Tribolium castaneum: one gene and its partner. The protein of the gene in region 1 interacts with the protein of each later gene in a biochemical or structural test. Links are inferred from orthologs where the notes say so. Each region holds a gene or a part of one and is shown on either strand. Other genes may lie near its edges.

Region 1 (4,733 bases):
CTTCCTCCTTTATGACAATGTCTTTCACTGCGTCCCCATTGGCCACTTGGACAACTGCAGCGTTTGGCTTACCTGTCTCAACAGCAGCTATAACTTCGGTTCCCGGTCTTGTTGAAATCCCTTGAGCTGCAGCCAGTTTCGCAGCTTTGCAAAAAATAATTAATAAACAAACTATTTTATTTGTTGCAAAAAACCTACTTTCCAAATCCTTGAGAGCTTGCGGTTTTTCCCAAACCGATTCCCCTTTCTTGGCGTTGTAATAATAGAAGCGTCCGTCGGGTGCTTTGTGTTCGCTCCATTCGGACGCTTTGGCGATGATTTCCGGATCGACTTTAGCCAAAACCGCTGCTTCGTCAATCGCTGGGATAGCTCCTGGTAAACCTGTAAGAAGACCTGGCGGCATACCCCACGGAGCAGCCCCTGGTGGCCCCCCTGCCCATGCTGCTTGACCTGGAGCCGGCCATGTCCCTTGGAATCCTGGCGGTGGTAAGCCGAATGGAGGCGCTCCAAACTGACCTGGGGGACCCCCAAATGGGGGCATACCTGGCGGAGGACCCGCTAACATGTTTTGAGGCATTGCGTTCCCAGCTTGTTTGGCATCGCCTTTCGATTCCTCTGACTCAACTAAATTTCTCGTTAATTTTTTTGGGATAGAAATTGGATTAGAGGTACCTTCAGGTTTATTTGAAACGTTAGCCTGCGCTAACGCCGCCTGAGCTGCAGTTGACGTTCCTTGGGCTAAACCTGTGGTGGCCGCTTGTGCCATTGCTTCCACTTGATCCTGAGAGATTACTTTTACATTAGGACCTTCTGGCTTAGTCCAAGTGGTTTCTCTAGTACGAGCATTATAAAAATATGACTTGCCTTCTGAGGTTTTAGTCTCTACCCAAATTTCACTATTTGCATCTAACCCCTGCAAAAAACAATTACAATTGAATTCTTGTAGTCGAACTTCGATAAATAATAAATTATTATTTACAAAGTGGTAAAACATACGAAAGAGGAAAAATAATATCGAGGCTATAAAATTAAATAAAATAATTAATTTAGTCATTTTTCAGCACGGTGCAGCAAACTCACAAGAAAAAAACTAAATATGTAACTCAAAAATGTATTTGAAAGTGTGAAAAAATAACTCAATTTTTGGTTCCATTTAGTGCTTATTCGGCTTGCGAAGTAATTCCGCTTATAGCTAAAAAAAGATAAAACGCTCCAAAAGGCAAAAATAATGTAATTTGGCGATTTTTCTGTATGTATTAATGACATCTCGCAAAAAAACGGTGAGATTTTGATTCAAATACCAGCTTAAAGGTCTTAAAAGTTTGGAAAGGTAAAATTTTTTCTACTTTGGTTTCACAAATTATTCATTGTGAAACTGAAAGTATCATGTGTTCATTATTAAGAAAACTCTCCGAATGGCCTGATATTTCCTACTACACGAGTTCACCAAAATTCATAACATCATAACCTATGAGTGATAAATAGTGTTCAAAGGCCATGTGTTACGTGTGTTAAACAACAAAAAAAAACATTTCCAAAAGTTTTTATAAATAATAAATAAATATCTTTATGAAAATCTGTTATCTTTTTAACTGCCAAAAAGTAAAGTTATAAAAGAACGAATTAATCACAAACATTTGTAATCAATTGTTTTTTATTTTCAAAGCACTTCTTAAATGAACGCTTGTTAGTTTTACAAAGAGAACTTTTGTACAACTCCTTTTAGTAAATTTGTAGTTATATTGACAGTTCTGCGCTGGGTGTCATCAGTCATCACTGTAATTTAGTGTGATCTATCAACAACGTCAAGCCGTTTATTGAAAAAGAACAATTAACAAAATTAAGAGAAAATAGTTTGAACAGATTTTGATAAGTTAAACTAAACAGAAACAAACAAAAATAGAAAATAGTATATTACACTCGTTTTATAAGACTTAATTGTGACACTCATTCTATTGGAGCACTGCTTCGTCGTGCTCCAAAACCATTCGTGCCGCAATAGAACGTCTTATAAAACTCGTATAATAATATATTGTTTCAATCCTATTTTACCTTTTTTTTTTTTGGTTTGTTCATAAACGTGTTAATCGAGTAATACAAGTCAAAATAATGTCAGTTTGGATTTGAAATGTTGATCAGCCAATTTTTCGAAAAAAATATGTATCGAAGTGACAAACAAACGTGCTTCAGCACACGGAAAAAGCAAAAATTATGTTATTTTTACATAAAGATGAACTACGGATAATCAGGATATTCCGAAGAATCAAATCTCCGATCGTCCGATGAACTCTCGATGGGTTAAACTACGAAATAAATTATATTCTACTTTATTTTTGGTGACATGTTTTCCGCAAAATTTAATGTTATATCAGGTCTATTTTAAGAAAGTGTTTATCTTTATTGAAAATGTTTGGAAAAGTCTAGTTTAATTCTTTATTTGATTAAGATTTAGTAATAATTCGATATTTCCCGGGAATACCTAGACTTTAAATCAAGAAAAACAAAGTGTAGGCAATAGAAACCCTACGTGAAATTCTTATCTGTATTTATTATTTGATAACTCGAACAGATAAACTTGAAAAATTCGAATTCCAAAAAGATGGTAATTCGCAAAATCTCGTCGAAAAAACTTACTGTTGTGGGATTTTGCCCTACTGGTGGAAACTGCCCATTGGTCGTCCCGCCCTGAGCGCCCATGGGTCCACCCGGGGGCGCCCCCATCATGCCCGGTGGTCCGAACGGCGGTCCATTGGGTCCCATCATATTGGGCGGTCCACCCATCGTCCCCGGGGGCCCCATCGGTCCTCCCCAGTTAGGCCCATTAAAATTCGGAGGTCCATTGAATCCCTGCCCTGGTGGTGGGTTTCTGGGAGGTCCCCCACGTCCAAACATCGGAGGAGGTGGTCCTCCACGTCCACGAAACGGAGGAGGGCCACCGGGCCCAAATCCCCTTCCTCGAAACCGGGGACCTTCTCCACGCGGTCCTGGCGGACCTGGAGGACCCGGCCACGCGCGTCCGCGGCCCCTGTAATCACACCGTTAGGAAGTGTGGCGGTTTAAAACTTGAATACCTGAACCCTGAAGGTCCTCGGCCTCGCATTTGGAAGTCATCTCCGAGTTCAATGTCGTTTTCGAAGCCTCCGTCCTCTTCGTATTCCTCTTGGGCGACGCCGTCGACGTCGGCGCCGTCGTATTCCATGGAGACGTCTGTTTCTTCCATTGTGTTTTATTTAATTTCAATCGATTTAGCCATTTAGAGTCAATTAAGATTTATTTTTCGGAAAATGGCGTCAACAAATGCACTTCTTCGGTTTATGACGTTAATGCGCATGCGCGTTTTTTGTTTGTTGATTCCCAGATACCAACCACAAGCGACAAATTTTCCCCAAAAGTCGCGCGAAATTAGGTTTGAATTTTTTGGATGATTTCTACATAAATTTTCTTTTAAAAACAATAATTAAAACAACAAATTTTAAAACATAACACTGCCCACCGACTGTTCCGCATAATTTATTTAAACGCCTTAAAAAAATAAAACATTTTCGCCAACAAAGAAATACCACAAATGATCATTTCATACAGGCTGATTCTTTAAATTTTCAAATAGTAACCACCTATTTTTATTGCATTTTTGAATTAGTAAAATATACCCTAGTTGTTAGTATTAGCTGTTTCAAAACTATAAACGCCAACGTCGCATTTTTTACCGAATTATTTTTTTAAATGAGATTGATAAAATTGTAAAATAGTAAAACAGTAAAATAAAATTATTAGATCTCTTATTGAAACTATAAATTACATTATCTATCAATTTTTTGAAGTGCATAAATAATTTAAAAAATGATTATAAAACAGTCTTCTACAGCGTGCTCAAAAACTGACGCACCAACTCAATGGTGTGTGGCAGAGAAGTGGTTACATATAAAGGTAAAAATAGTAAAAAAATTCTTTGTATTAAAGTTATTGATAAATAACTAATTTTAGGTAAATGATATGTGGCAACGTTGTCTAATAGTCATGATCGCAATAGAATTTGAGCAACAATAAAAATAAATTATTTTTGAAACGGTTTCCTAGGAAATAATTCCCAGTATTGGCACATCTACACATTGTGATTTTTTGGATGAATTTTAGTTTTTTTAAATTTAAAAAACTGCTAAAATCTGATAGTAAATTTTAAAATAATTGTTCATCGTTTTGTTACGGAACGATTACCTGGTATGAAACATAATAATATAAAAAAATAATGAAAACTAAAGAAGTTAACACAATAGGTTTGTAGCTTCAGATTTTTTAAAATACGACTTTAGGAATTTTTTCAACATTTTTCCCGTAATCTGCACTTGCTTCTCAATAACGTACCACTGAGTTGGTGCGCCAGTTTTTGAGCACCCTGTATATCTATCTCTTACAGATTTTGGAATAATCGCAAGAAATTGAATTTTACCTAATTATTTTCATTTTTAATCAACTAAACTTTCGAAAAATATGATAAAATTGTGCTATTAATTAAAAAAAAATTCTATTTGATCACCGTTTTCATTCAAGAAGTTCAAAATTCGATGGCAGACTGAATGAGTTACTTTACATAAATTATGATAATAAACCATAATTAAATATTAATATTTTACTGCTTATTAGATAATTAATAAATCAGTCAAAAAATTAAATAAAATGTTCAAGTTGACAATTGTTGACGAATTTGCAAGGTCTACTTGATTACTATAAAAATT
Region 2 (4,755 bases), on another chromosome or scaffold:
CCAAACCACACGCAAAAACTCAATTACCTGATCTTCGTTTAAATAATTCGGCAAACCACCGATAAAAATCTTGTGGGGCGAATCCGGCACGACTGTACTTATAACCCCCGCTGGAACACTAATACTACTTTCGGCCATACCTGGCATTGGTTGGTAGTCATGCGGACGCCGAATTTTCAAACTCTGACCTGAAGAAAAAAAATCAATCCAAACACTCACTATAAGTCCAGTCAAATAAGCCAAATAATAAATAAGTTATTTACAGTTCTTTAATAATATGTCCACATTTACAAAAAAATATAAATAAGACATTTGAAAATTTTGTTTTTAATTTTAAATGTCCCAATCTTTTATGTCCACCGCTAGATTTATACCAAATTTATACCAATTATTACAAAAATTATACCTTTATTACAAAAATTATTGTTAAAAAAATTAGAAAATTAATTTCAACTCACCATGACTTTATTAAAGTTGTACATACTTATCAGTTATCATGACTTTACGTTTAACCGCCCTAATTGTTAATTTTAATATTAAAGAAGTCAAAAGAACATTTATATCTCCGGAACTTATTTAAAAAGCCAAAAACGTGACGAAATAGAACTAATTACGAAACATTAATCCACTCCAAGCTATTTTTTGAGATGACATTAATTAATTTTTGTTTCCATTTTTATTAGCCCTCGAAATGTTTGTTTCAAAGGAAAATACGCTGCGATTTCACTTCGAACTTTTCAGTAATTGAAAACTGCAATAACTTGATGAGTGTTACAAATAACAAAATAATTCTTGAACTAAAAATGTATTTGAAGTGTTTTCATCTCGATTATGTAAGGGTTCGCGTTTTAAAATAAAAAAATTAAAACTTTCTCACATCTCAAAAATTTCACAGCACGTACATTTTTTCAGTTTTCTCTTATCAAAACCCAGCCTTGTGTAAGAACGTTATTTAGAAGGAAGATATGAGGATGTAAACGCACAATTTGTCCAGTTTTAGGTTTTTAATTTTTTTGCTAAACGGCCATTCCAAAAATAAAACCCTACACCGAAATTTTCAAAATAAATTTAGTAAAGTTTCTTTCAAAATACACAATTCGGTTAATACTTAATGTTGATGCTGTACTTTCTACTGATACTATTAAAAAAATTGAAAATAAAATCTTAAATTTTTTGCAGTGTCCAGTTAAAATATGTACACACAGTATTAATACAATTTGTCTTATTAATTATTATTACACTTAAATAAATAATTTAGAAAACACTGGTGTCTTTATTATTAAATTCTCCGTAAAAAAGTGGCTATCTTAATTTTTAGAATACGAAATTATGAATGTTTTGTCTGAAATTATTTACTCAAAAGCATAAAATGTGACAAAGTAGTAGCAAAAACCAATGGATCAAACAAACCTCGTTATTCCTACCTTGTAACAACTAGTTATCTCACAGATTATAACTTTTGTTGATGACATTTTATCCATAATCTTACACAATGATTATTGTTGCGGCATTTAATGTTATTCAGTTTGTTACTGGCTGTTGTCGTGAGTGAACGTCTCATATAAAATTTAACATACTTTGATATTGTTAAAGTCTTTAATAATTAAAACCTATGTGATTAAATTTTCTGTACTTATTTTCACACACAAGATTTTTTTTCTGCCGACAGTTATGTGTAAACAAAAAATTTCGTGGTTCGTGGTTTCAGTTTCAACAAGTTCCACCTTTTACTTCAAAAATAATTCTTGCAATTAGTGCCTTTAAATTAGCAGAATTTTATAACGATTGTTCATCAATAAAAATGTGAAATTTTTTTTGTCCCGTCCGTCATCGATTTGTATTTCTTTTCCTGTTCGTATTTAAAATTTTACAAATGTGACTGTAATTGTAGGTTGCAAACAGTTTGACTACTACTAGGTTCCGAAAAAAAAATCACGTCTACTGACCTTGTTCATAAAACTTAAAATAAAATCTAACAATTTGTGCAAAGTGCCCTAAATTCAAATTTAGCTGAAAAATCTACAGAACAATCAAGTGTTTTTGATGTTTTTTTTTTAAATTGTACATTAACATTTAAGCACCCAAAGCTCTGTTAATTTGAATAATATCAAAAAAAGTCGAGAGAACATTTTTGCGTAAAATTAAATGCTTTATAATTTTCATTTAATACATTTTTTTTTCTAACTCGTACCGAATTTGAGTAATCTTTAAAAAACACTTCTTTGACTACGTTTTGCAATACTTGTATCCCCTAGATTTTGATATAAAGACTTATTTGACCGGACTAATTACGCCAACCCCACCTTTGAAATTAATCCCATCAAAAGCCATCGCTTGCGTCGTCTCATCAATCGACCTAAACTCCAAAAAGGCGAAATTCTTGTCCAAATTAATCTGGCACGCCAGCACCGGATTCCCTGCAGCTTGCGCCAAGCCACTGAGATGCATTTGCTGGTTGAAGAACTCCATCATCTCCTCCTCAGTGACCCCGAAGGGGATATTCCCCACATACAGCCGCCTCGCCTGTCTCGTAATAGTCGACCCGACGACAGGCACAGCCGCTTGGGGCGTATCCGCCACGATGTTGGCCGGGATCTGCCCCGCGGCCTGCATGGCTTTGTACTGCAAGGGGGTGATGTGCTCGAACCCGGGCGGGGGCACGTCCCAGTACAGCGAGGGCTTGCGCCTCCGCGAGTGGCTCTTATGGCGACTCCTAAACCCCCAATTAATCCACGAAACCAAGGCGAAATACTCACGTTGAGCGGCTTTTCCGGCGGCGGTCCCGGGACCTGGAGCGCGACCTCCGGCGGTGCTCCCGGGAGCGGGAGCGCCGTCGGCGGTCCTTTTCGCGGTCCCCGCGCTCCCGGCTCCGCTCCCGCTCGTTGTTTTTACCGTCTAGAGGGGTTAGAATTGGGTGAAACTCGCCGGTTAAGTGGGGCCCGGACTCACCTTTTTCCTCCCCCATTGTGGAACAGTAGCACAATTAGGTCAAATTTTACAAAAATTAAGCACAATTTGGGTCAATTAACTCAAATGTTTGGTTTGTTTTTAACACAACTCACAAAACGTTCAAAATGGCGTCAATTAATGTCAAGGGGATTGTGGGTACCTGTCGGTAATGTCGCAAACTGTGTCGTTTGAATTACGATTAATTTAATTAATTATTTACAATTACGGTCTTGCTTAACTTGTTATTGTTAATTGTTTGTAAAAGTACGATTGTCGTGCGGCGGTAAAAATATTTTGCTTGATTGACGTAAACAGAGTCGGACTGTTTTTCGGAAAATTACCACAGGGCCGGCTTCAGCCGAACCAATCGATCTATTAATAAAACACGTTTTGTTAGATTAGTGTGTGCATACATTGTAAACAAACCGAAAAACATATTTTGTAACAATAAGACTAAAAACACTTTCAAAGCGGCGATAAATTAATACAAACAATTTGTATTATCAGTATCACTAAAAATGTCGGTGAACTTTTGCTTTGTTACCAAGCTGGTGGCAATTAATACTTAATAATAATAATAAACTTTATTAAATATAATGATACATTTACAAAAGGGAACAGTTCGCAGATGCTATCTTCCATTGGCCCTTTCATTTTTGCACAAAATTTGATAATAATCACACATCATTAGAGATGTGACCAGTTTCAATTTTATTTATGAATCTAAATGCCTAAACTACTAAAAATACGAACTAGATTACAAATTTTGAAAAATTGGAATAATTAGGATTATATTCATGACGTCACTTGATAGAACACATGATAATTGTTAGTGAAAAACATATGACTATCCATTAAACAGTCATTAGTCTGACAACTACTGTCATGGTAAAATTATATGAAACAGCCTGTACATGCTCATCAAAGCACTATTAAATTACTAAATTTTTCCTAGTAAGTTTTTGGTTATATAAATTCAGTTGTTGATTATTTTCAATCAAAGATTGCCGTCTGACAGTTGTTTGCATTTAGATTTACACCGTGTTTTTTGTATATAGCTTTATAGTTTTGTCATAATTGAATGGAAATGTCAGATACAAATGCATATCGTTAGCATACATGTGAATTTTACAGTTAGTTATATAATTAGTAAGATCAAAGGTATATAACGAAAACAGCATCGGACCCAATACACTGCCCTGTGGTACCCCCCGTTTTAATACAGGGTGATTCAAAACTACCATACAATCTCTCGAGTGTTGAGAAAAGACTGAATTAAAAGTTCCTATGGCAAAAAAATGTTTAAGCTTTTTTTCACGAGATATAGCTCCTCGAAGTTAATTTTTTATGTTAATTTTTTGGTGCTTCAGATCATATTTTTTTTTAAACAAATAGCTGTTGAAAAAAATAACAATTAATATCTTTATGATGTCCAAAACAATGAAAAACTTGTAAATTCGACAATAAATTAAATTCGACATCCTAAGAAACAACAAATATATATAAGAAAGTTACTTGAAAAAAATCTGACTTTATTTAATAGCTTAATAGAAGTCTTGTGCATTACTATGTATAGACTGGACTGCTTTTATGGTAACTTCATTATTTATTACTGAAAATTTGAAAATGCAAGCGCACTGCCCACTAGATGAATGTCACGCTTATAGATAATTGAAAATCGCTAAAAAATATTAAGTGGTACCAGGTTCCATGAAACGTGTCCGATAATTCCGTATAATAAGACAAACAGCGATAAGAGCTGAGACGAAGAATTATTTTGAAAAAATTCAGATTAAGTAATTTCGC

What was found.
Region 2: the proteins of transcription elongation regulator 1 (region 1) and U2af50 form a complex in vitro, tested with the Homo sapiens proteins (2 studies listed by BioGRID). The link is inferred for Tribolium castaneum from reciprocal best matches to the Homo sapiens genes TCERG1 and U2AF2.

Annotation. Positions count from the first base shown.
Region 1 is NC_087397.1:11,591,075-11,595,807, reverse strand, and holds the start of transcription elongation regulator 1, read right to left. Parts: upstream 3,334-4,733; 5' UTR 3,221-3,333; coding exon 3,072-3,220; intron 3,026-3,071; coding exon 2,635-3,025; intron 914-2,634; coding exon 673-913; intron 625-672; coding exon 199-624; intron 145-198; coding exon 1-144. UniProt on the Homo sapiens protein: Transcription factor that binds RNA polymerase II and inhibits the elongation of transcripts from target promoters. Regulates transcription elongation in a TATA box-dependent manner.
Region 2 is NC_087399.1:6,083,195-6,087,949, reverse strand, and holds the start of U2af50 (splicing factor U2AF 50 kDa subunit), read right to left. Parts: upstream 3,123-4,755; 5' UTR 2,966-3,122; coding exon 2,950-2,965; intron 2,896-2,949; coding exon 2,757-2,895; intron 2,714-2,756; coding exon 2,304-2,713; intron 189-2,303; coding exon 28-188; intron 1-27. UniProt on the Homo sapiens protein: Plays a role in pre-mRNA splicing and 3'-end processing. By recruiting PRPF19 and the PRP19C/Prp19 complex/NTC/Nineteen complex to the RNA polymerase II C-terminal domain (CTD), and thereby pre-mRNA, may couple transcription to splicing.